3 linked regions of the Lepisosteus oculatus genome follow. The protein of the gene in region 1 interacts with the protein of each later gene in a biochemical or structural test. Links are inferred from orthologs where the notes say so. Each region holds a gene or a part of one and is shown on either strand. Other genes may lie near its edges. The genes, in order: usp21, aurka and yod1.

What was found.
Region 2: the proteins of usp21 (region 1) and aurka form a complex in vitro, tested with the Homo sapiens proteins (2 studies listed by BioGRID, with this or other methods). The link is inferred for Lepisosteus oculatus from reciprocal best matches to the Homo sapiens genes USP21 and AURKA.
Region 3: the proteins of usp21 (region 1) and yod1 form a complex in vitro, tested with the Homo sapiens proteins (2 studies listed by BioGRID, with this or other methods). The link is inferred for Lepisosteus oculatus from reciprocal best matches to the Homo sapiens genes USP21 and YOD1.

The regions. Positions count from the first base shown.
Region 1 is NC_090697.1:77,986,047-77,994,073, reverse strand, and holds the start of usp21 (ubiquitin carboxyl-terminal hydrolase 21), read left to right. Parts: upstream 1-5,026; 5' UTR 5,027-5,498; intron 5,499-5,731; exon of another isoform or gene 5,732-5,785; 5' UTR 5,786-5,984; coding exon 5,985-6,116; intron 6,117-7,129; coding exon 7,130-7,189; intron 7,190-7,437; coding exon 7,438-7,555; intron 7,556-8,027. Other genes in the region: lrrc23 (leucine-rich repeat-containing protein 23), read right to left, coding at 307-443, 751-881, 1,565-1,827, 2,132-2,241, 3,088-3,243. UniProt on the Homo sapiens protein: Deubiquitinates histone H2A, a specific tag for epigenetic transcriptional repression, thereby acting as a coactivator.
Region 2 is NC_090711.1:2,943,191-2,951,256, forward strand, and holds the start of aurka (aurora kinase A), read right to left. Parts: upstream 3,045-8,066; 5' UTR 2,832-3,044; intron 2,203-2,831; 5' UTR 2,197-2,202; coding exon 2,146-2,196; intron 1,314-2,145; coding exon 1,040-1,313; intron 641-1,039; coding exon 592-640; intron 351-591; coding exon 159-350; intron 1-158. Other genes in the region: prelid3b (PRELI domain containing protein 3B), read right to left, coding at 7,372-7,491. UniProt on the Homo sapiens protein: Mitotic serine/threonine kinase that contributes to the regulation of cell cycle progression.
Region 3 is NC_090700.1:33,690,904-33,698,785, reverse strand, and holds the start of yod1 (ubiquitin thioesterase OTU1), read left to right. Parts: upstream 1-4,799; 5' UTR 4,800-4,863; intron 4,864-6,982; coding exon of another isoform or gene 6,983-7,004; exon of another isoform or gene 7,005-7,168; intron 7,169-7,882. UniProt on the Homo sapiens protein: Hydrolase that can remove conjugated ubiquitin from proteins and participates in endoplasmic reticulum-associated degradation (ERAD) for misfolded lumenal proteins.

The sequences.
Region 1 (8,027 bases):
GGGACAGACACGAGAGGGACGCCGAGACACTTCAATGCAGTCCGCCGCCTTCCACACCAGCATTGATGAACGTGAATATATATAAGCTTTCAGCTCTAGCAGTTGGAATTGATTTATTTAAAAGTATTTTGTGGGACTAATAAAACAGGAATATGATTAATTTGACTTTGAGTTCCAAACTTTTGATAAAAAAGGTTGTTTTTTTTTCCATCAAACAATCTGTCTTGCAAGCACTCCAAGGAGATCCCGAGCAGCATTCAGGTATACTCATCACTGAGGTCCAGTGAGCTGGAGATAAGGCCCCACCTCATATTGAGATACTGCAGGGACTTCATTCCCTCGCTGAAGCCCTCCAGGGACTCAATGCGATTATCTCTCAGGTGCAGAGTGGTGAGTTTCTCCAGCCTCTCCAGCCCTTCAAGACGCTTGATCAGGTTCTGGGCCTGGGAAGGGAAGCAGAAGTCAATACAGACTGTGCTGTCACTGCTGCTCTTCTTCATAGTGCATTTTAGCACTGAGGTACATGATGAAGATTCTGAAGGCATTTTATTGAGTGTTATGGAATAACGTTGTGATAATAAAGTGATGTATTGCGTGTGAATTATGATGTCTTGCATGTAATCAGGAAATGTGAAAGCATGTTGCTAGAGCTGCCACCTATGGCCTGTCACTAGGTGGTGTCTGTGCTCTGCTGCGATGAGACACAGCTGCACTTCACACAATTCTCAGCAGAACAACCCGCAGTCACACCAGGTACAGTCTGCGCAGGTTGGGCAGGTAGATCCCGTCTGTGGTTTCCAGGCGATTCCCTCTGAGCTCCAGGGTTACCAGGTTCGCCAGGCGCCCATAGTCCAGGCCGGATATTGACTGAATCCCATTGCCTGGGAATGGAATAAATGAATGGAGACAGTCAGCCATTGCACTAGGCAAGTAGGCACTCATTCTTTGTTTTCCCTTTTTTTTCTGGAATATTATTGTTATATACCAATATAAGTATATGATCAAAAACAACATTTGAGAATTACACAAAATGCATATTGTAGACAATGACACCAATAAGAGACTCCAGAAACACAATGGAAGTGATACAGATGCACCAATTAGCATTCTGGAGAAGCAGACCTGCACACTAAAATCTAAGGGTCATAACTCCCACCACTCTTCCTGTGCTCTGAAGACAGGCAGTGAAGAATGACACAGCCTGCTGCACCTGTCAAAGATCCCTCAGCCTGTTGCAAAGAGCCATGCGTGGGAGTTGGTTTAATATATATATATTTGTTTGTTTTGTTTAATATATATTATCTATACATACTTTGGGAAAGCACAATAATGTCCAAAGTTCAATAATAAGAAAATGCAATGTTTTTCAGGACATGATCCTAGAGTTCATAAAAATGTCAGTATGTCTAGAACAGAGGTTGGTGTCAATAGTGTGTAGTTTTTTTTTTGCTGTAGTTCTTGTGTGAGATGACCCTTTGTGAAGGTGCTCCGTCTGCCTATGAAACTGTGAGTCAGCAGCAATCACTGTTTCAGAAGTGCAGTGGCAAACAGCAGTCAGACTGACCAGTCAGGTTGAGGGTCTCCAAGGAGGGCCCTCCCAGCCCCTCCGTGTTTTTGATCCGATTGGACGCTAAGTTCAGCCACTGCAGGTACTCCAGCTGGCCCAGGGGCTGACCTTTGAACCCATCTAGCAGGTTTCCATCTGCTTTGAGCCACAGCAGATGAGAGAGGGAGGCCAGAGGGGAGAGGTCAGACAGGTAATTGGAGGAGATGTCCAGGAAACGCAGGTGGACAAAGCTGGACAATATGTTGAGGTCTGTTAAGCCCCTGGACAGATGAGAGAAATACAGAGGTCAACACCAAATCCTTAATGGTTATAACTGTTGCTGTCAACTTTCACTTCACACACTACATTTCCCATCACTCAGGGTGCTGAGATCTGTCTCTGAGGATATATAGTTGGGTTCCTGATATGACTTTTCCACATGTATTGGGTCTTGGAGAGTTGTTTTGAAGAAACGGTGACGTGTTTGTTGCACATGTGCGCAATCAGCCACAAAAAATGAGCTTTGGGGCCTGTGGTACAAAGGGATCCAGAAGCTTGAGTGGTCAAAGGCTGCTGAATGCTCACCGTTCCTTGAGTTCCAGCCGGACGAAGGCGTGTGCCAGTCCGTTGCCAGTGCGACACAGCAGGGACAGGCCTTCGGAGATCATTTCTGATGTCAGAGGGCAGCTTTCCAGCTGAGGGAGAGAGAACCAGCTCTGTTACAGCTCAGGCAGGTGTGGAGAGGCTCTGCAGATAAAAGACAGCTGCACGCATGCTATACCAGTGTCACAGCAAGCCGATGATTACTATGCTTAGAATTATGTGTTCAGAAACAATGTTATGATGAAGTCAGAACATAAGAAAGGTCACAAATAAGAGGAGGCTATTCGGCTCATCTGGCCAGTTCTGTAGTTAGTAACTTATTGATCCAAGGATCGCATTCAGACATTTCTTGAACTGATCAGCCATTTGTATCACAGCAGACAGATTCATGTATTTTTTACCCTTGTACTTGCTCTTTGCTCTTGTACTCTTGAATCTGGGTGTAAATGTTGAAATTGATTCCTTGTAGCCTGAGGTTCCTGTCCCTGTTTCTAATTGATTCAGTAAATTCAAACTGCTCCAACACTGCACCAGTATGTTATTTCCACTCAGCTATGCCTCAGCTGTTGCTATCAAAACTTCTACCCAACATTTGCCTTGTGACAACAGCTACGATTTAGAAGTTTAGAAGACATAAAATGGCTCCAGCTCAGTTTGCTGACTCTCTGGACAAAGAATCTGGTATCAGTTGCAAGAGAGGAAATACAGCAGAAACACAGGCCGGCAGATTAACATCCACCAGTTAACTCAGCTCCTGCTGGGAAACAGCAGCAGACGTGCTGTCTGCTGGTCTCACTGGTGACTATAAACAGCAGAGCCAACACTGGCTCAAAGGTAGGCTGTAGGCCTGGGCTGTTGTCTGGAACACAAGGGATTGATGACAGTGGCTAGCTGTGCAGGAATGCAGCATTCAGATTCAGACAAATCAATAGCTTCACCTTTTCTTCCTTCTCAAGCAATGCCTCTTCCTCTCCCTGTCCTTCCCCTTCCTCTCTGCCACCCTCCTCTCCCTCCGAGTCCAAGATGGAAGCTGTGTTCCCAGGCTCCGCCACCTCCACTTTGTCCTCCACCCCTTCTTCCTCTCGGTCCGACATCACTTCCTGTCTCTGTGTCCACCTCAGCTGCACAAGGACCTTAAAAACAGATAGCGTTCATGGAACACATGTGACTGTGCTGTTCCCAGCTCTTTCTTTCTAACAAGAAACCAGGACAGTGCAGCTATACACTGTACACTAGCTTATCAGACAGCTAATCTGTTTGCATTTCTGCATTTGTTGATGGACATTAAATTCGTATTTCAATCACAGGTAAATTTACCATCATAATAAAGATTTTCAGAGGAACAAGTAACAGGTTTATTCCATTCTGAAAAGAGAAGAAAGAAAACACAACGTTTCGGCCTTGGAGCCTTCTTCAGGTGTGAGGCAATACAATAAACTGTTATTGATTAGTTTAAAAGCCACAAAAAATATAATTAAACTCTAGATTTAGCCCTACGGCCACCTTGCTTTGTTCACTGATTAAGCCCAGTTGCATTTGAGTGGTCATCGGGCAGACTGAATGGTGTGGGCTCAGCATTCCTCAACAAGGGCCTGTTAGAGGGTTTCAGGTAACAGCTTTTTTAGTCTTACTTCATTCATTTTCTTTATTTGTGTCTCAGCTCCTTATATAAAGCTACTTGTGTGTTGTTTTTTTATTTTCTTCTTTCAAAACATAAAGACAGATCTGCTGTATGGACACACAGTAACATTGTAAGAAGCCGGCTTCACAGACTACAGATAGAGAAACCAAAGACGATTCGACAACTGAAATTAGTGTTTTTTTCTTTCTGCTTTTCAGAGTCAAATGAACTTCGTTTTGTTCGTCTGCAGCTCCGGCCGACACTGCTCCTCACTGGAAACCCTTCAGGTCGAAGACGCCACTTCCTCGCTCCACACAAAGCCTTTAACCCACGAAGCACTTGTGTCTTAGTCGATTGCACACTGAGAATCAGGCGTCTTACATTGTTGTTGTGCGAGCTTGTTGCGCGCTCAGCAGTGCTGCTGTACAGCTCACATACTGTAGGCACAGTGAGATTCCCAGGAAAGAAAATAAAGTGAAGCTCAGAAGAGAAGACCACAACCAAGCCTCGTTCGTCCCAGCTGTTCTAAATCATAATCATTCCCACCGGCACTTCTCAAATACTGTATAAACAGTACATATCACACACACACACACTCTCCTCCACAGTGCTGCGCTGGGGCACTCCTCTCTCTGCCTGCGGGATAGCCCACAGCCAAGCGGGTTCAATCCACAATTACTCCATAAACATCCGCAAACCAGACTGATTCCTGGGTGTCATGAAGATTCCTCATGAAATAATCACAATGTGTTTTTCCTGATCCCACTCGGCTCTTGTCCCTGGCTCTCGCAGGTCCTGAGGGAGACCGGTCCTCCTCAGCCCAAGACAGAACACTAGGGGAGCGGGTACCGGCGGCTCAGCCCGGCCCAGTGCCCAGAGTCGACCCGGCTCGAATCCACTCCGGCAGCAACTAACGCGTTACTGTCGAAACGAAACGCAACTACTTGGAGAAATAATCAGTGCGAGTTTTTACGTTTGCAACACGCTCTGCCCGGACACCACCTCTGAATTCATCCGAGCTCAAGGGAAACCGCTGAGATTATTTTCTCACTTATTTACTGTCGTATTGACACATTGTAAGGAAAAAGAAAGATTTCCCTACCGTCCTGCTGCTGGGTAACACAGTTGACAGCTGTTGTCAAGGAGACCGCACCGGCGAGGAGGCGTGGCTTGGCGTGCCTGCTGCCCAATGATGTGGGAGGAGACGCGGAGGGGTGGGGCTTATGAGTGAGAGTGAGCCAGCCGGGACTCACCTGAGCGCGATTACCTGAGCGCTGCTCTTCACTCAACAAACCACGCAGTTTAGTTACACTGATTTTATTCTGGGTGGCGGGAGAGATATACAGTATATGATGTGTTTTTCGGTAAATCGTTAAAACCCCGGCTAAAAAGCTTTAAACCCTCTGCATTTTGGAAAGTAACTAACCAGTGATGTAATAAAATATATATTACAGTAATATATACAGGATGCCTACTCTATTCGGCAAGGGCTAACTGTGGGCGAGAGTGTCTAAATATAGAGAAAGGAGAGAGAGAGCTGGAAGAGATTAAAGGGGATTAACATTAATCGTCTAAATTCACACAAGTGAAAGACAAGAGATGACAGCACAAGTGTTATCCCGTGTAGAACGAACTGCAGATGTAGTGACATTCCCAATTTACACCAAGAGAGCTCTTGCCAACGGGATTCGTCTTCAGATTTTCGTATCTCTGCTATCTCCGGATAAGGTTAGTAGAGCCTAATTCTTTGTCGCAATATTTCAATTAAAAAAAATACTGATACTTTATTTCTTACTGCAGTCTTTAATATTTTATTTGTTATTTCAGTCAAAAACGACTCTATAGTTATTATTTTACTAAATCATTAAATGCAATAAGAAGCAAACACTCCTACGACTCACATAAATCAAGCCAGCTATTTTGAAAAGCGTTTTTAAAACAGCCTATAACATAACAAACAGAAGAAACGCAAAGCTTTTGCGACGGAGTGACCGGCGCCCCGGCTGGGTCTGCAGACTGTCCAGGAGACCGCCGCGGCGGTGAGAGTGACGCGCCGGATCTCCTCTCCTGAGCGGCTGCGGGAGGTTCAGTCGCGGACAGAGCGCTTCGCCTGGAAGTGAGCTCGACCGGAGCGACTCGGTCTGTGGAAACCGGTCGTGGACCCCAGTCGGACGGGACCCCTGCGCCCGAGTCGCCCGAAGAGCCGCGGCTGTCATGGAGGACTCGTGCCAGGCGCTGTGCCGCTCGCTGGCCACTCAGAGCGCCGTGCAGCAGGAGGGGCCGGACATCTCCCAGTCCGTTCTCTACAGCTCTCTCATGGGGCTGCTCCTGGTGGCTGATAACGAGGTAAGAAGCAGCCCTTGTAACTGTCAGATCCGGTGTTCAGTCAAGTGGTCATCTCCCAGGCTTCTCTCCCTGCCTGTGTGTCTATGTGTCTCATGGAGAGCAAGCTGGGATATGTGAAAAGACGAATTCCTAATGCAAGAAATTGTATAGGGCTAATAAAGTGATGTGTTATGATGTTATCTCCAGAAGTCAATCAGTGTGGTCAGCTCCGGTGCTCAGTCAGTGTTCTGGCCAGCTCTAGTGGTCAACTAGTATAGTCAGTCATGGTCTGATCTGGGCTCCCTGTTGAATCGGTGGTGGTTGCTCTCAAGCGCTTCACCAGCAGTCAGTCAGAGCCCAGTGGGAACAGCGGTACTACTCATCCCTGGGAGCTGGCACCTGACACACTGCACGAGCCCTGCTGTCCCTGGAGCGTCCTTCCTGGTGCACGTGCCCGAGCACGCTCTGACACACACATGCACGTCCCTCCCCTTGAGGAGCTAATGGGATGAGTCTCCATGACCTCTAGTTTGAGATCTATTGCGCGGTAATGAGATCAGGGCTCTAAAAAAAAAGACTGTGGCTAAGGAAGAGTCTCTGATCTGTACCTCCACATCAGCCTGCAGCAGGAATCTGCATCCCAGCTTTCAGGCTCTCACAGGGGCCACTGGGTTTTGATCCAGTTAAGCTCAGAATGACTGAGGTCGTTTCTGTATCCGAGCTGCATCGGCTCATCCCGCTTCCCGTGGTGTTAAACACAGACCAGGAAACACATGAATCCTGCCCAGAACAGGACACTGGCCCACTGCAGGAGAAACCCATACAGCCTGGCAGACTGGAGCAACTGGGGTAATGTACCTCTCTCATGGCATAACAGCAGTGTCTGCAGTGGGGACCCAAACCCACAACCAGCTCAGATACTCATCTATTACACTGTGATGAGGGGCAGTGGGTGTGGCAGTGGGAGGTGTGATGAGGGGCAGTGGGTGTGGAGGTGGTAACTGTGATTCATCTTCCTGTCTGTCTTCCTGCAGCAGGAAGCCAGTCTGACGCTGGGCAGCGGGCGTGTTGGAATCCACAATGTTGGGAATACAGTAGGTAGATCTCCTTGGTGGTTTTTCTGGGGTTTTCTGACCTGGGACCAGGTCTCAACAGACCAAATGTTGTTTTAGGCCCTGGTTGTCTAATTAGAGCTACTTTGTGTTACTCTATGAGGCACAGGTGCGTGATTCCATCTTTGTTCTTTTATTTACCTCATTCCTTCTGTTCTTCATTCCACCTGTCCCTCTGTCTCTCTTGCGCAAGTGTCAGGCCTTCACCACAGCTCTCTGTGTGTCTGCAGTGCTTCCTGAACGCCGTGCTGCAGTGCCTGTCCCACACGCTGCCCCTCAGGGATCACTGCCTGAGACAGCGGTACCTGCAGGACATGGGCACCCGCAAGCCCCCAGAGCTCATGAACGGTACTTTGACATCTGGCCCTGCTGTGACCAGCAGTATTCGAGCCAGGCGAAATTCACAAGATGCTACACTAGACGAGGGCTTTTTACATTATCATGAGAGATTATTGTTTACGTTTTCTGCCCCCCTGTGAGTCTGAAATGGGTGAAGTTGTTAGAAAACAGATAGGTAAATGGATCTCTTTCAGATTATGGTTATAATATATTAACATTTCACTGCAAAATGTAGTTCTATGCATAAATTCATAGTATTTTTATACTGAATCACTATTTAATATCATGAAGTGCTAGAGTTAGTCTTTCAGGAATGACAGACTTCATTTTTGAATGTTTGGAGAAACAATTCTTTTGAATGTGCCACCAGTAGCAGCTGCATCTGTGGAACAGAAATGTACGATAAAGCCTGTAGCAATGCACTTTGGGATATCACCACTGGTCTGATGTCACACGCTGGCGTGGATAGCAGAGTCACCAT
Region 2 (8,066 bases), on another chromosome or scaffold:
AAATGATTCAGCTTAAGGGGCATCAAGCGACCAAAAACGACGACACTTCCCTGCACTCAACTGCCCTCCACTCTCCACATGGGAATGTTGAGAAGCTCGTGAACAGGGCGTCTCCCCACGGCGGGAGGGGAGGCCCAAGGAGCCTGCAGGAGGTGTACCTGAGGTGCGACTGGATCTCCACCTCCCTGCGCAGCTGGTGCTCCACGCCCGCCTTCTCCAGCTGCTTCTTGAAGAGCACCTTCAGGGCCAGGATGAACATGGACTGCCGCTCCCTCGCCAGGTACACGTTCCCGAACTTGCCCTTTCCCAGCGGCCGGCCGATGTCGAAGTTCTCCAGGCTCCAGCGCTTCCTGAGGAAGAAGGAACGGGATTCAGGAAGTTTTCCCATTAGATAAATATGAGAAGTGGCTTAGAAAAAAAACAATTTCTCCTGATCTAGGTTTAGTGTCCCCCCCTTCACATGCAAGACGAGCAGTAGCACCAGGAGCAAAGTAAAGAAATCGATTCTAATTGCTGGCTTGAGAAAAGGACAATGCATTTTTTTTTAATACGGAAAATGTGACCCCCAAGAGTTCAATTCCTGGTTCTTACTTAGAGTTAGAGTTGACAGAGTTCATAGATCCAGTGGCCACAGCTTTATCTGCACAAGAAAAAGGACAATTACTACAGGGACATTCTTGAACATTAGTGTAAAAGAACATTTGACTTTGTGTGCAGATCCTTCATGTATCCAAGATATTTCCTTTATTGACATGTGCCTGTGCTGATCTAGAGCTCGTTCTCCTGCCTCTCTATGCCCAACGGCCAACAGGTCTTGACTTGAGTCCCCGATGTCTCAGACTGGACACTCCTCGCTCCAGCACATCGAAATAAGTGAACTGCAAGTACCGGGGAGCTCTGAAGACCGCTGCTTATTCTGAAAGTTACCAGTAATGCTCTATTTCAGCTATCCCAGAGCTCATGTTCCGTCAGCCCTCCCTCAGACAGGCCCAAGCCCAGCAGTGTCACACCGCAGACTGGGGAAAGCAGGGCTGCCCACCTGCAGTTTTCTCCTGCGCGGGCGGCTCCACAGGGGCAGGAGCGGAGGAGGAGGAGGTGGTCCGGCCCCGAGCGGGCGGGGGGGTGTTCTCGCGGGAGGCCTGCGAGGCCTCGATGCGCAGGGCCGGAGGCTGGGGCAGCTTCTGCGGCCCGGCGGGGCGCTGGACGCGCTGCGGCCCGTTGGAGACGCCCAGGGCCCGCTGGGAGGACGTGGACACACCCGCCTGCTTGTTCTGGGACACGGGGACCCGTTTAGGGCCGTCGCTGTTGAGCTGCTAACACATGGGGAGAGGAGAGTCAGGGACCACACTTCACACTGCAGGTAGCCTTAATCTACAACACTCCAGAACTCCTGCCCAGTGCAGTTTCAAAACACCAAGCTTTCCTTGGAATGAAAGAAAACAGACATATTATAGAAAGCTTGGAAGAGCTAACTTTAGTGAAACATGGGAAATGAGCCACAGTTTCCTAAGCTTTGGTTCTGTGTCACAGCAGAAACAACTGTCACCTAAGGAGATCAGACTAGAGAGGTAAGGCGTTTGCACACCAGCCGGTTTTCATTCCATCCCACTGTAATTAGATAATCACAGCCCTACCTGATCTAATGCTAATGAGCTGCTTCCGGTGAATATTTGCATTGTGTTTTTAGTTAGGGATTTTCTCTCACCTACAAAGTACAACAGTTAAAGCTCCAGCATGTGTAAGACCCGGGAACAAACAGATCACATTAATCTTATTATTAAGCGAATGAAGGGTTTGATTGTGTGACTAAGGGCTCGGCTGGAACACAAACCTGCAGGTCACCAGGACCAGGAACCACCGGACCAATTGCAAGCACTGATCAGAACTTTTTCCCCCCCTGAGAATCGGTTTTTCATGGTTATACCCAAGACAAAAGATCCCCCGTGTGGGTGGAGGGGATAACTGTGTGCAAGCGGAAATTATCCCTGCATTTGCGCCCTCCCGAGGAGCACACGTGATCTTTGGCCCCTCTGCAGCACGGGCATTCAGAAACTAAACGATCAGGAATTCGGAAGTGGGTACGAGTCTCCCCCTAGCGGCGATCCCGGGAGGCGCACGGCGGCTCTCACACCGGCGACAGCTTACTTTCGCAGTCGCAGGACACTGCGACCTCCTCGCCGTCTTGGCCGCATCCATGGATCACTGGAGAAAGGAGCGATGAAGGAAAGAGAGATGTTCAAACTCTTATACGCGTTCTTAATTAAAACAAGACGAGTTACGCTAATAAAGTCGACTGTCTCCTTTAAAAATACACGACTAAGGGATCTAGAATACAAACCAGCATACCCAATTTATTTTAAAAATAAAACACGATCGCCACCACAACTAAAAATCCCAGGGCGACACACCTGCAGATAATCTTCACGATTTTAATCGACGTCTGAAAGGCGTCCCGCTGCAGATAAGCGAATTCGGCTAGTTCGCTGTTCAAGACGCATCGTTTGGTGTATAAACGCGTCTCCTATGGCGACGTGGAAACCGTACGCATTTTTCTGAACCTTTTTCCCCAAAGCCTGAATGGACACGACACTGCCACCTCCGTTTCACTCACGGTTTTGTTACACATACAGCTGAAAAATATTTGATTAGCAACTACATTTCTCCACAAAAGATACATATCCCACGCCGGACCGGAAACAATAACAAGCACATTATTTACATATACCAAGACTTCTAAGCCACAACTGGTTGACATATGATCATGATAGATGACAGATGATCACGATAAAACGAAAAAAGGCCACGTTAGTATCAGAAGCGCTCTCACGTACCGCTTTTAGCTACTTGTTCAGGCCGAACGACGGATTTTCGTGTCTCCTTTTCCTCGCACACCCGAAACGCGCTTTCTGCCCCGTCTCTGTATTTTAAATCCTTTCAGGTACGTTACCAGGCGAATCCGAGAATTAGAAGAGCTTATTTTCAGCTTTAACCCACAGTTTTTTTGCCGAGCCAGCCCGCAGGCCGCAATGCTCCTATCGCACGTCACTACAATCTGTTTAAATTCAAATCTCCCTCTTTTAACTACCTTTAAACCTTCCCCGCGTCTGATTGGCCGAGATCAAACCACGCCCCTGCTCCCCATTGGCTGGGGCCGCCTTTCCAACCGTACAGAGCCGGTGTAAAAGGTGCTGCGATTTCCCACAGCGCCCCCTGCTTGTCGCCAAAGGACAAGTCTACGGCCGCTGTGCGGCGAGAACCATTTTCTCAAGACCGTGTGATAATACGGCTATTATCGTAATATAAAAATGAATCCTCCATGCTAATAAGTTTTTATCATATTTCTCAAATCTTAGTTAAAAAAATTGAATCCTTTTAAATTAATAATTATTTTAATTTCCTGGTGATTAAGGGCTCAGTAGGGAGAAGTCCTTCAGGACCAGGTTAAAGAATGGCTGAATTCAGAATTTCCCAGCGTGCCTCCACTCCCCCATTACCCGTGCCGTTTCAAGTCGATCTAAGGCTCTCGTTCAGCTGGTTCTTCTTTATGAACCTATTGCCATCTGCTTCTGTAACATGCATTGTTCCAGACTCCTACAACCCTTTGTGGAAAGACATGCACCTTGTATGGAGTACTAAACACAGCTTCCAATTGAGCCCCCTTCGCCGTTACGCAGTTGATCACTGTCAACACCTCAGCCTTTGTGAAGACATGCATCTTGTCCTCTCAGTCTTCACTGAAAGTCTCTGTAGCCAGTGTACTTACACTAGAGAAACACATGTTACCTGCAAGCAGCCTGTGTCACTCCCAAACCACAGGCCTTTTGACCCCCCGGCTACAGATGAGGACTGCGTGAGCTGGAAGACACTGCAAGAGGAGGGCAGCTGCTCTGAGGCCGTCTTAGAGACGGGGTGCTATAGCAGGGACAGTTTTTCCTTGACCCAGAGCAATGATAATATGCCTCTGCAGGAACACACTTCTGTCTGCAGCACCAACCACCTGGCCGTTTCACCTCCTATACTGGTCTTCATCAGAGACACAGACGGCCTGCAGGGTCACTCGGCGTCTTCAGACGAGCTCTGGCAGATATTTGGGAGCCCAGGCTCCATCCCTGAGCCACACGTCTCACAGCAGCAGGAACGCAGGACGGATACCAAAGCCGTCTCGTCTCCAGAGAACATCGGCCTCACCCCCATTTCTCCCAGTCCCAGCAACCAGATCCAACAGCACCAATTTGAGTTCCTCCGGGAGGAATTGGTGTCATAATGAGTGGGAACAAAAATAAGAAACCAAACTCCTGTGACCCTAAAGAACCGGCCTTAGAACTGACCAGTGCAGCTCCTTATCCTTTCCCCACTATCCACTCCCACTTGTGAAGAAAGAAACACCCAGGCTAAATTGTTACAAGTTTATTAAGCATATAGTTGTTACAAGTTCGTTAAGCATGTTGTTGACATCGGTATTGTTCCATCACACACAGCACAGACCCGCACTCACTCCTCACCAAACACCCTTCTCCTGCCTTAACAAAATGCATCCTACCCCCTCACCCCCACCGCACACATTCTAGCTGATAGTTCTTTTAAACCATAGTCTATTGGTATAAAAACATTATAAAGCACCACAAATGCTGTGTACCTATAAAAAAAGTCACAACCCAGGCCCCTCAGTAGTGCCACACATCCAGGAGCTCATAGCGAAGGTTAGATGACTGCCACACAGCACAGCACCCGAGCTCGCCTCCAGGTCCATCATCCTCCTTCACCGGAGCAACAGCTCTCGAAACGGCAACTCGCAAGGCAGGCCGGCGCTGGATCAGGCGAGAACAGCCGCCGTGTCACGACACTCCGGCTCACACAAACTCTTCCAAGGAAATGACTCCCGCGGGCGGAGGGGGACTCCTCTGAAGTCAGAGTTAAAGTTAGTCTCGGGCTTCACACCCGCTAGTACAAAAGTAAAAGACTCCTGCATGTAGAAATTAGTCAGCATTCATGCATTACAGATTCGCAGCAACTCGGCGCTCAGGACAGGATTAATTACACCAGCTTCCCGACATGCATCGCTCTACCAAGCCAGACCGGCAGAGAGGGCGTTTTCGGGACTTTTTCTTTGCAGCCCCGTACAGGATGAAGAAACGGGTGGGAGTCCGTTATCGAGTCTGCACGGGGGAATCGTGGAATTTTGTACAAAAAGAACTAGATCTTTCCAAATAAAGACCTTCGCCTGCAAAAGCCCCCGAGCAGTTTCATGGGTACCCTGGGTGAGGCACGGGGAAAATCCATGCTCCCTTGAATCGGCATCCATGTCGCTGTGCAGGTCGTGGAGGAGAGCACACGTTGGCGTGCTGCGTGACCCTTCGGTCTCCACGCTGCCACAGCACCTGTCCGCAGGCGGCCCCTGCCTGCAGTCTGGATAAGGTGACCGCAGAGCTGGCTGTTGTAAAAACGCCCCGCGGAGGTGGACGGCGAGGGCTGGAGCTCGACGGGCCTGGACTTGGAGAAACCAGGAGATGGCATCACTCTAAAGACTCGGGCTCCCCACCTCTCCACCAGCTTCATCCTGACAACCGCTCCCTACTCCCAACAGCTCTGCGCATTCCTGTAGCGTGACGTCACTCGCTCTTCCGAATAAAACTCACACCACAGGTAGCTGGCAGGTGACAGAAGGACTGCAACAGCTTGACAGCCTTGCAGGTCTCTCAGAAGGTCAGGTGCATGCAATGTGACACAGGCTGGTTATGCTTGTGTTGAAAAAGCATCAAACCTTTCCAGTTATGTTTAGATCTCTGATGCCACTGTGGCTCAGCAGCGCATCTTCCTAGAGGATCAGACATTGTTGAGCTCAGCTTTTAGACAAGGGGCAATGCGAGTCTAGTGGCAAAGCACAGCCTAGGCAGCATGTACACCATGAAGAAGTGAGGTGGGTAGTGTGTTTCCTACAGACAGATGTAGACCAAATGTAATATAATGCCCTCAGGGTCATGGCAGGTCAACGCGGAGAAATCAAAAGGGCTCACAGTGCGGAAATGACTTCAGTTCTGCAATCACTGAATTCTTGTCACTAAGTTCGGTCAAATACATTCCAAAAATGTCCAAACACACTAGGACTTTTTTTGTTACATGACAGGGTAACAAGAAAAGTTATGAACATTCGAAAGATACACAATTCCTTTAAACTCCTACTGTACAGCAAGCAAAAAGTCCCACCCTCCCCCATCTCTGGTTTCTCAGTACCCTCTCTCCACTCGTGGGTTTTCTTTCTTGTGCGTGTAAGACAAAGACGCCCCTTTCCTTTTTCTGACCTACGCACGCTTTTGTGGCACTGCCAAAGCCAGCATTTATCCAGGGCGGCGCCCCCTCTTTCCTGGAGCGCTTCAGCAAGTAAACCTTTTGAAGAAGGATCCCCCACCCCGACCTCCGACCCCTGACCCCCGACCCCGGGCAGCGCAAGCTGAGCTCAGAGACGCCAGCCGTGCACAGCACCACTGCGCGCCCTCCGGCCCTGGTCCGCTCTCTGTTCCCGTGGTCTCCTCCACTGGTACAACAGTTAATACTCCAAAAGAGAAACGTACAGTACTTGACATTCAAGTATTGAGATATTTGCCGGATTGAACCGGCGTGCTAGGGCCCGTTTCAGGCCCTCAGAGGAGGACTCTGGATGAGGAGCAGTCAGCTGCGAGAACGTGGCTCAAATAAATAGAATCTTTACAAGTGCTAAATCGCTACCTCTACAAATAAAATAAATAAATATCCTTCACCCTTGACAGCAGACCTGGTCTGTAGTTTTTGTTTGCATTCCCAATCCCTTCTCTCCTCCCCACCCCTCTAGCCCAGGGCTGAGACGGCATTCGCCACTGCCTCTGACCCAGAACCGCCGGGTCCCAGCAGTCCAAATCCCTCTCTTTCTGGACCCGGACAGCACCACGGACAAGCTGCAGGAGGTCCAGTTCACAAAACCTTCTTGCTGGGGGGTGGCAGGATGGTCACAGCCCAGCTCAGTCTGAACCGGCGCCGTCAGGAAAGTACCTGTGCCCCCCCCCGCTGGGAGCCCAGGTTCCCCACAAACCTTTATAGAGTTTTGACCTAAAGGAACAAAAAAGAATAACGAACGAGCCAGATTTCGCAGGACCGGCACCAAATCCAGAGTCTTAGGCTGCCCGCCCAAGCAATAAATACGTTTCCACAGCCTCCCTTTGTGTCACACCTGGCTGGATCACACTGGATCAAGAGTGCCCTCGAGCGCAGGAGGGACAGAGAGGCGATCGGAGATCCCCGTCGGCGTGAACACACAATAAATTAGTCTGCGGCGACACAGAGGGAGGCCGTGCTGGCGAGAGGAGGATGCGCCCCTTGGTAAGGGCCCGGGCTCAGGGGTCATTTCTCAGTAACGGCGGCAGCAGCCATGGGCGTCCGGATGGTGTTGCGGGCGGTCGCCGCCAGCTCCTCGATCTCGGAGTTCAGCCGCCTGATGACCCACTCCATCGCCTCGCGGCCCTGCAGGAGCACAGACAAGCGCGCCTCAGCGGAGGGGACAGGCGGACAGGCACATGCAATGCTACTCTGCAGGAAAGGAACACGCGGCGAGAACACACACACAGGTACACTCACGAGGGGAAGGCAGCGGGCACTGTATGTGCACACGAAAGTAAGGTTTGACATCGCCTTCTCCCCCTGCCAGATCTCAGCCCAAGGGAGCAGGGAGAACAAGCTCCACACCCGACAAGTCAGCACACAGCACGAAAGATAATCCCAGTCTAAAATTCCTTACTTCTCAGGATCCTGGGGATGGGGCCTGTAAATGAGCCTCTCGTCCAAATCAACCAATGTCTTATGTAACAAGACAGGGACGCACAACACTGAAGATCTAAAGGGTCTCGCACCCTCGTCCACCAACACGCGGGAGCAAACGCCTTGCAGGTCAGGTCTGACACGAAGGAGTTCGCGTTTTTAAAAAGAAGGTACATTTTAAACTAGCTCGGTACCTACTCCGCCCAACTCGTTAGAGCACCGCTCGAAGAAAACTACCTTCCCGAGGCGCGGCAGGTTACATAAAACTCAAAAGAGTGACA
Region 3 (7,882 bases), on another chromosome or scaffold:
CATTAAAATAGAAAACTAATATACAACAAGGCCCCTGGACTTTCAGTTTTAGGTCTTTGTCTTAAACTGTATAATGTGGTTAAAAGGAAGATGAGGAAAAAAAACTGTTAATGCATCAATAGATCCTAACCATAATATGAAAAGTTTAAATCACAGCCAAATAAAATGTGATGGACATTAATATTCATTACAGGGGGTTTACAGTGCAGTATAATTAAAACAATTTCTTTTTTTTGTGAAAGCAAAACACTGCAAACAGTTCCAAAAACAGCTTTGACACTGAGAGAAAAAAAAACGTGACTTGACTGTCATGATCTTTTTGTATTACAATGAGTACTCTGACCATCTCATGGACATACCAAATAAGTCTCCACTCCACACTTAAAATTGATAGACTTTCAGGCAGCAATCCGTCAAAGAGAAGGGTCCTGTTACATCTAGCCGTCTGCAGTCAGTGCAGTCATAGCAACAGCAATAAACAATTTCCTATTAATCAGGTGATGAATAACTATCGGGCTTTAGCACAAATGTCATACTGACAATTACATATTGAAACACAAAACACTTAAATACACTGCCTACAAATCTAATCTGCCTACAAATCAAATTTATATCATTCCTTTGAATATTAACAGGAATGTTGATAATAATTGCCCTCCATTCAGTAACCCCCCAAAACAGACTGATGTAAACGGATACCTGGTACGCAATTATTTCGCTTGCAGGAGGTTATGTTCTTTTACGGATCTTCTCCCCCCTGTGAGAAAGACAGAGGCAAACCTCCACTTTTGACGTACAGTCTGCTGTCGGTGCTTCTGTGTGAGGCAGCGGACAAGAGGAAAGATCCGGGTATAAAGAACGGGCAATGCGGCTACTACAGCAGGTAAGCAAATTCTTCGCCAGTGCCGCAGACGACCTTCCTAATGTACACCGGGTACATGAATGAAGGTGTGTCCCTACGTCACAATCTGTCTACCGTAACTCTCAGAGTACTAGGACTCCAAATACTGCGCATTACGTAAGCTTGGCTAAGAAATCTTGCATGAGCTGTATTTGAAATGACGCTCGTTCTGTACTTGCATATTTTATTTAACGGAATCATACGTAACCCAATCCACTTTAATACTGTCTTGTGTATTGTTGTGATGTTACAGTGTATCATTACAAGTATGTTGCTTTTGCATTATACATTTTAAAAATTACATTTAGTCAATGGGCGTACCAGTCGAATGGTTTCTATATTGGAAATTCTAGTTCTCAATAACTTGAAAGTATGGTAATTGTTTTGTGAATGCGCGGGGAACACCAAAAAGTAAGTTGTTTAAATTGTTTTAAACTATTATTTTAGGCAGTACGGTACGGACAGATAATAACAAAGATGCTTTGTTTTTAATATTATCGTTCCTATTGCATTTTAGCGTGTTATTACGGCATCAAAAGATTAAGAAAGGTTAAGCAACACATCAGCAATTCCTTACCCACGATATGGGGTAATGCACCCATGAGAAACTAACAGCCATGTTGCCCTGTGGAGGCTTACACTACTTTCTCAACTGATGCTTTTAAAGAGAACCAGGCTGCTAACTGGATTTCTCCCAGATTTGCACTGTGAGAACCAATCGGATGCTCTCCCCAGCCGACTGGGTCTCAATAAGATCTTCGCTAACTGCGGCTCCTTTAAAAGCCAGTATGATGCAACCCAACCGGCCGCTTACTACAGTATTCGATAACATTTCTCTTGGCACGTTTGAGACTACTAAAACTGGAATAATAAAAAATGCTGAAAGCGCATTTCCCCCAATTTGGTTGTGCTCGCAGCTATAAATAGACGGTGCATCTTCATCTGTTTTCCTTGATGAAAGATTCCGCGTCCACTGTATACAGTATGTCCCCAGTGCAGTTTCAAAGAACAGATCCAAATACAAACAGAAAGCGCTGCACCCAAAGAGCATACAACAGGGAATCCCTCCATCTCGTAATTTCTTCTTTAAACCCTGTGCCATGTCCTGACTCACGGATCGACTGGAAAATCCTCTTTGGTACTGAAGACTTAACTGTGCTGCTTTTATCTAATATTTTCCGATAAAACATTAGAATATATCGCAATGCAAAGATAACTTTACTACGACCAAATAATACTTGTGCTTAGCTAGACAATAAAACCAGGAGAGTTGACCGTCTTTACAACTTCACTCAGCACAGGCGCTAGAATCGCAGTTAACCGAAACTCTTACTTGCTAAAATAATAGGACACGTTGAATTAATGTGCGTTAAAATCTGATTCATAATCTGATGTCTTATTGAATTGATTTATTGTGAAGACTTTTAAGTATTGATGTGGTGGCATAAATGAACTGCAAAAACACTATTAGCCCTGTGTCTGCAAAGCGTACAAGGCTGGGTCTCTAGTGACATCTGCTGGACATTATAGGGTAGTGTTAACAGTGTATCGACTGTATTTTGCAACACTTTGTGACCACGAAATCATTAGAGACGGGAAAGCCATGTTTTTCATGAACTGATGAAGAAAAGAGCTTTCAATCAGAGTGAGAAACTCAATAACACAATAAATGGGGCGAAATAATGTTGTTGCAGCAATATCTCAGTGTGCTAATGCTTCTGACAGTCTAATACAAACAACTGGCTTTTATGCCCTTTGTACGCTATTAACACAATTAAGACGGCAGTCTGAAGTGTCACACACTCACATCTTAATGCAACCAGACAGTTATTATTCACTACCTTATTCAACAAGAAATTCTTTGTATGCATATAAATATTATTTATAGCACTTCTCATCTTGAAGGATCCCAAAGTATTATAAGATGGGACCAACTCCATCCACTAGTGCTCCACAGATCCCAGCTGGGTAATGTGCAGATTCCACTTGACACAGAAATTAAAGTGAATTAAGGGGGGCAATTTAGGGAGGGGTGCTCTCGTGAACAGTTCCATTGCATCTTCATTAAACAAATAATTCAGGATCTAAGTCCATCATCTCACGTAAAGGATGGCTCCGTCTACAGCCCTGTATCACTTGGTCACTATTATTAGAGTCCTAGTTCAGAAATTCTGGTTCAAGAGTCCAGAGCGCCACTAACTGGTTCACCATCACCAAGCACAGTCAGCTTCACATTTAGTGAAATGCTACATAAAATCCGTCATTTCAAAGGCACTATTTTGTCTCTTTTTCTTATTTTAAGAATTATGAAATTTCCTACTTACAGGTACTGACAGCTGAAAAAAACGTCTTTCTAGACAGCGCATAATATTTCCTCGGAATATCACTGAGGTACCTAGAGCAAATGTTGTACTTCACATAACGCAAAAGAGTTCTCAGTATTGCAATACTTTTTTGATATTTTTCCAAGTGTGAAATACATTCATAAGAATACTTGAAGAAGATTCACCCTAAATTACACATCAAAGGTGCAATGTTACTTTTTTCTTACCCATTTAACAACCTAATTTCTTTCCCCCCTCTCTTGCTTTAGTGGTGATATTAATTCATTTTTTAAGCTGGCAGGCAAGTTGTTTGACAAAACTACAACTAATAAAATTCTAGTTTTGCAGAAGTATGTTAAACTCTACTGTCCTGTCTGCAACCATTTGGGGGTAAATAAATATAACCAATAAAAAGCAAAACAACTGCAATGTATTGAGTTCCCAGCAAGTCACTATTTAGGTGAAGGACATGAGTTAAAATTATTGATGTAAACCTGATGCATTTGCTTAACTGTCAAGAAGAAACCCCTAGATGTGCCACTTCAGCACAACTTGAACATATATCTGTTAAACACTAAGTGGCAGAAGAAAGCAGAAATGAATGTGTACCTTTGTAATGGAAATCGCTTACTGCATATATGTGAATTATGTGCCTCCCCCCACAAGCAGCATGTCCCTTCAACTCATAAAAAGCATTATTCAAAGGAATACAACTCAGGAAGTACTACAAAATAGTCTTCAACAAATTCTGCTCCTGAGCAAAAGATGTCCAAATTGCCAAAATAAAAAGTATTTAGCACAATGCCGTGAAAAAATAACTACTTTGTGTAACGAACAGTTCTTTCCGGACCCTATGCGGACGACACAGTCCGACGGAGTGGGGAAACATTGGGGAAACGTCATGCAGGAAAACGGGGTTGAAGACAGGGGGGCGTGTCCAAGGTGCGCTGGTGCACGGGGGAGGTGTGGCCGAGGCGAACAATCCTGGAGTAGTCCTTAGGGAAAATCCAAAACACACGAGTAAGTCCAAAACCAGGAGATCCATCAGAACAAGAATTAAAAACCACGAAGGCCGGGTCGGAACCGGCGGACGGGGAACAGGAACGGGAACCGAGGTTAAAACCTTAACGGAACCAGGCGCTTCCTGGTCCCGGACTCGCACGATATGGAAATCAGATGCAGAGGCCGGAAGAGCGTCAGCGCCTGGCTTTTAAGGTGGGCAGGGAATGGGAAACAGGTGCAGAGAATGAAGTCTTTAGTGAAAGGGCTGGAGCACCCTTAAGGAGGGGGGACTATAGTCGTGACACTTTGAGGGTTCATTATAAAGAATAATGCTTTGGACGGACACTTTGAGGACATTATGACGGGGACACTATACTGTAAACAGGAGAGTGGAGTGTCCAGAAAAGCACTATATAAGTGTAAGCAATTATTATTATTATTATTAATGTGTTCTGCCCCTTTAAAGCAATAGGAAAAGGCTCTGAAGTGAGTCCAGCCTCCTGCTGGAAGGCAGCAGAACTGCCTTCCAATGAGGATGTAAGAGGGTTGAGAGGGTGTTGCATCAAACTGATTGATATGATGATACTGAATATGATTGACTTTGGCTGGAAACCTTTCAAGCATTTCTGCCACAGGGTGAGTATTCATTTGTTTGGTAGTTCTAGACATCTTAACCTGAACAGCAATATAAGAGCCAGCAGCCATATCACTCTGCAACTCACAACTGGCAAGCCACTGAAGCTAAGCAGGTGTGAGCCTGGTCAGTACCTGGATGAGAGACCTCCTGGGAAAAAGTAAGGTTGCTGCTGGAAGAGGTGTTAGTAGGACCAGCAGGGGGTGCTCACCCTGTGGTCCATGTGGGTCCTAATGCCCAGCATAGTGACGGGGACACTATAGTGTAAACAGGCGCCGTCCTTCAGATGAGACGTAACACCGAGGTCCTGACTCCCTGTCATTAAAAATCCCAGGGTGTTTCTTGAAAAGAGTAGGGGTGTTACCCTGGTGTCCTTACCAATAATGGCCTCCTAATAATCCCAATCTATGAATTGGCTTCATTACTGATACCACTGATAGCTGATGTGTGGTGAGCGTTCTGGCGCACTATGGCTGCCGTCCCATCATCCAGGTGGATGCTGCACATTGGTGGTGGTGGACGGGAGTCCCCATTACCTGTAAAGTGCTTTGAGTGGAATGTCCAGAAAAGCGCTATATAAGTATAAGCAGTTATTATTATTATTAAGAGAAACTGGAATGCTTCCAGAGTGTTGTCTATAGGCGGAACAGATTTAAATCTGGGTCCTGCAGAGCTCTTTGGAGTGTGAAACTCCAATTGGTGGCAAACAGCAGGAGAACTTTCTAGAGACCACAAAAGCAGGATGCGCTTGAATCAGCCCATAGAGCCTGCCAACTGTCCTCTTGCAGTACATGCAGAGGAACGGGATAGGGAGAGGTACTGTTGATGTTATTCAGCCCATCTGTTTGCAGATTGAGAATGCAGATTTCTTGAGCAGCGAATGACTGTGGCTGAGCTGCAAACTGATAAGTTTATACAAATTGACCATTCAGATTTTTCAAAAAGGTATTTTTCAGCATGTGACACCCCCGTTAAACAAATCTGAGGGAAAAAATATTTGGAAAGACCAGTTTTATTTACAAAAAGACACCACTGGACTGGCATATTAAATACAATATTGACCAAAAGCTTAGACAATCTTACCTAATATTAATAAACTGATATAATGGCTTAAGCAAAAAAGGCAATAGTTTCATTCTAAAACCTTGCCCTAAATGTTATATATGACCTCCAGCCCAATCCTCAATCCCAGGCCTATAGTGCAAATGCTAACCTTATCATACTGTAACGCAACGGGGCTCCGGCGGGCGCCCTTGCCGCATTAGGTCGGCCCCTGCACCGTCCGGGGCTCGAACCCGGGACTTCCGCGTCTCTCTGCAGCGACCTAGCCCCGTGAGCCAAAGAGAGATCTCTCCACAGCCCAGTAGCTGTGGTCCTGCTATCACAGGGAAGGGCGGTGACGTCACCCGCTCTGGTACGCCGGCTCTTACACAGCGCCTGTCGGCCGTAAGCGTTACAATACTATATAGCACCTGACCCCAAACTTAAATGTACACTCTAACCAAACCTAATCCTACATCCAACAATAAACTCATGAGTGTACAGTGATATCGGTCAGCTCTGATGACACATCAGACCATTTTCTGACCTCAATGCTGACCCTAGCTCTGCTACCCAGTCCTGACCACCTCTTTTCCAACTGATGTAAAAGCAACGATCGACAACGATCTTATTTCACTTAGGGTAAAATGCCATTGAACTGTAGTTTGTAGTAACAGGTACTGTAGGTTAATACTTAATAACGAAATAAGGACAAACACCAGTTCGTGCAACCACAAAGAAGGTCGTTATGTTTAATTTACACTTAATGCAACATTGCAAGCTTGCTTTGATCTTCAGAATGAACCTCACTATTTCAGCAGTGGTGTGTACCCGACACCGCCCTTACACACTGAATACCAGTTACAGTGCAGCGCATGGTTTCACTTTGTGAATACGCCTTGCATGAACGTGAGGCTGCAGCCTCAATCGCAAAGTCCGATTGCAAGCAATGCAGACTGTAACTCAAAATCCGATTCCTTCATTTTTAAAGGCCGGCGTTTTCGTTCACTGGTGGGTGAAAGAGAGCATTAACGCTGTGAATAACGTCCACACATTTAAAAAAAACAATTGCCACCTCACCTTTCCTGGAAGGAACTGACATCCTGTAGCACCAAGGCTCGACAAATCCACTCACATTTACTTCCCAAACGTCAGAAATGACGCCTATTTAGCTGGTGATCTGGGTAATTAGCACAGTTAAACTAATTTCTCCGTATGAGCAAATATTACAGTGATACAATAAAGTGAATGAAGGATAGGTCAATCGTTGCGGTTAAGATTAATGTGTCCATTATTTGACGCCGTTTACGTTTAGGCTAAACAGAGCTGACAGAAGTGGACTAAGCTTTTCTTTTCTGAAATGCGTCCAAAATCCATATCCCCAAAAGAAACGACTCACTGAAAACGAGCATCCAACTCCGATTTCCTCTTAAAAATCCTCACCTTCAGCTGTTCTTCACAACAGGGGTTTAAATCGACCGTTTTTGCGTTGAAATGTATTTGGGAAGATTTTTTATAACTACTGAAGTACGATAAAAAATAATTTTGAGTCCGTTTCTATTTATTCTGCAACACGATGTGCGATTAAACACTATTATTTGTGTAGTTAAAATAAGTAAAATAATAAATGGTACATTTATTATTAGACATTAGAGATGCAACAGAAATGAACGAGAACCTGAACAGAAGACTTTACATAAAAAGATGTTTTATGACAGACACTTGCAAGCTTTTAGAGACGAAGACAAAGACTAATCACAGAAGCAGCCTAATGATTATCCATACCCCGTTTTTAAAAATTAAAAAGGCAAACAAAAGGGTGATTATACAGCCTTGTAGTTTGCAATCGTGAATTATCCAGTCTAACAAAAATACAAACTGTAACGGTTACAGAAAAGGGGAGTTTTTTCCCCTAATCATATAACTATCTAAGATCAAATTTTCTTTCTTATAAAATGAAAGTAAACTGAATAAACAATT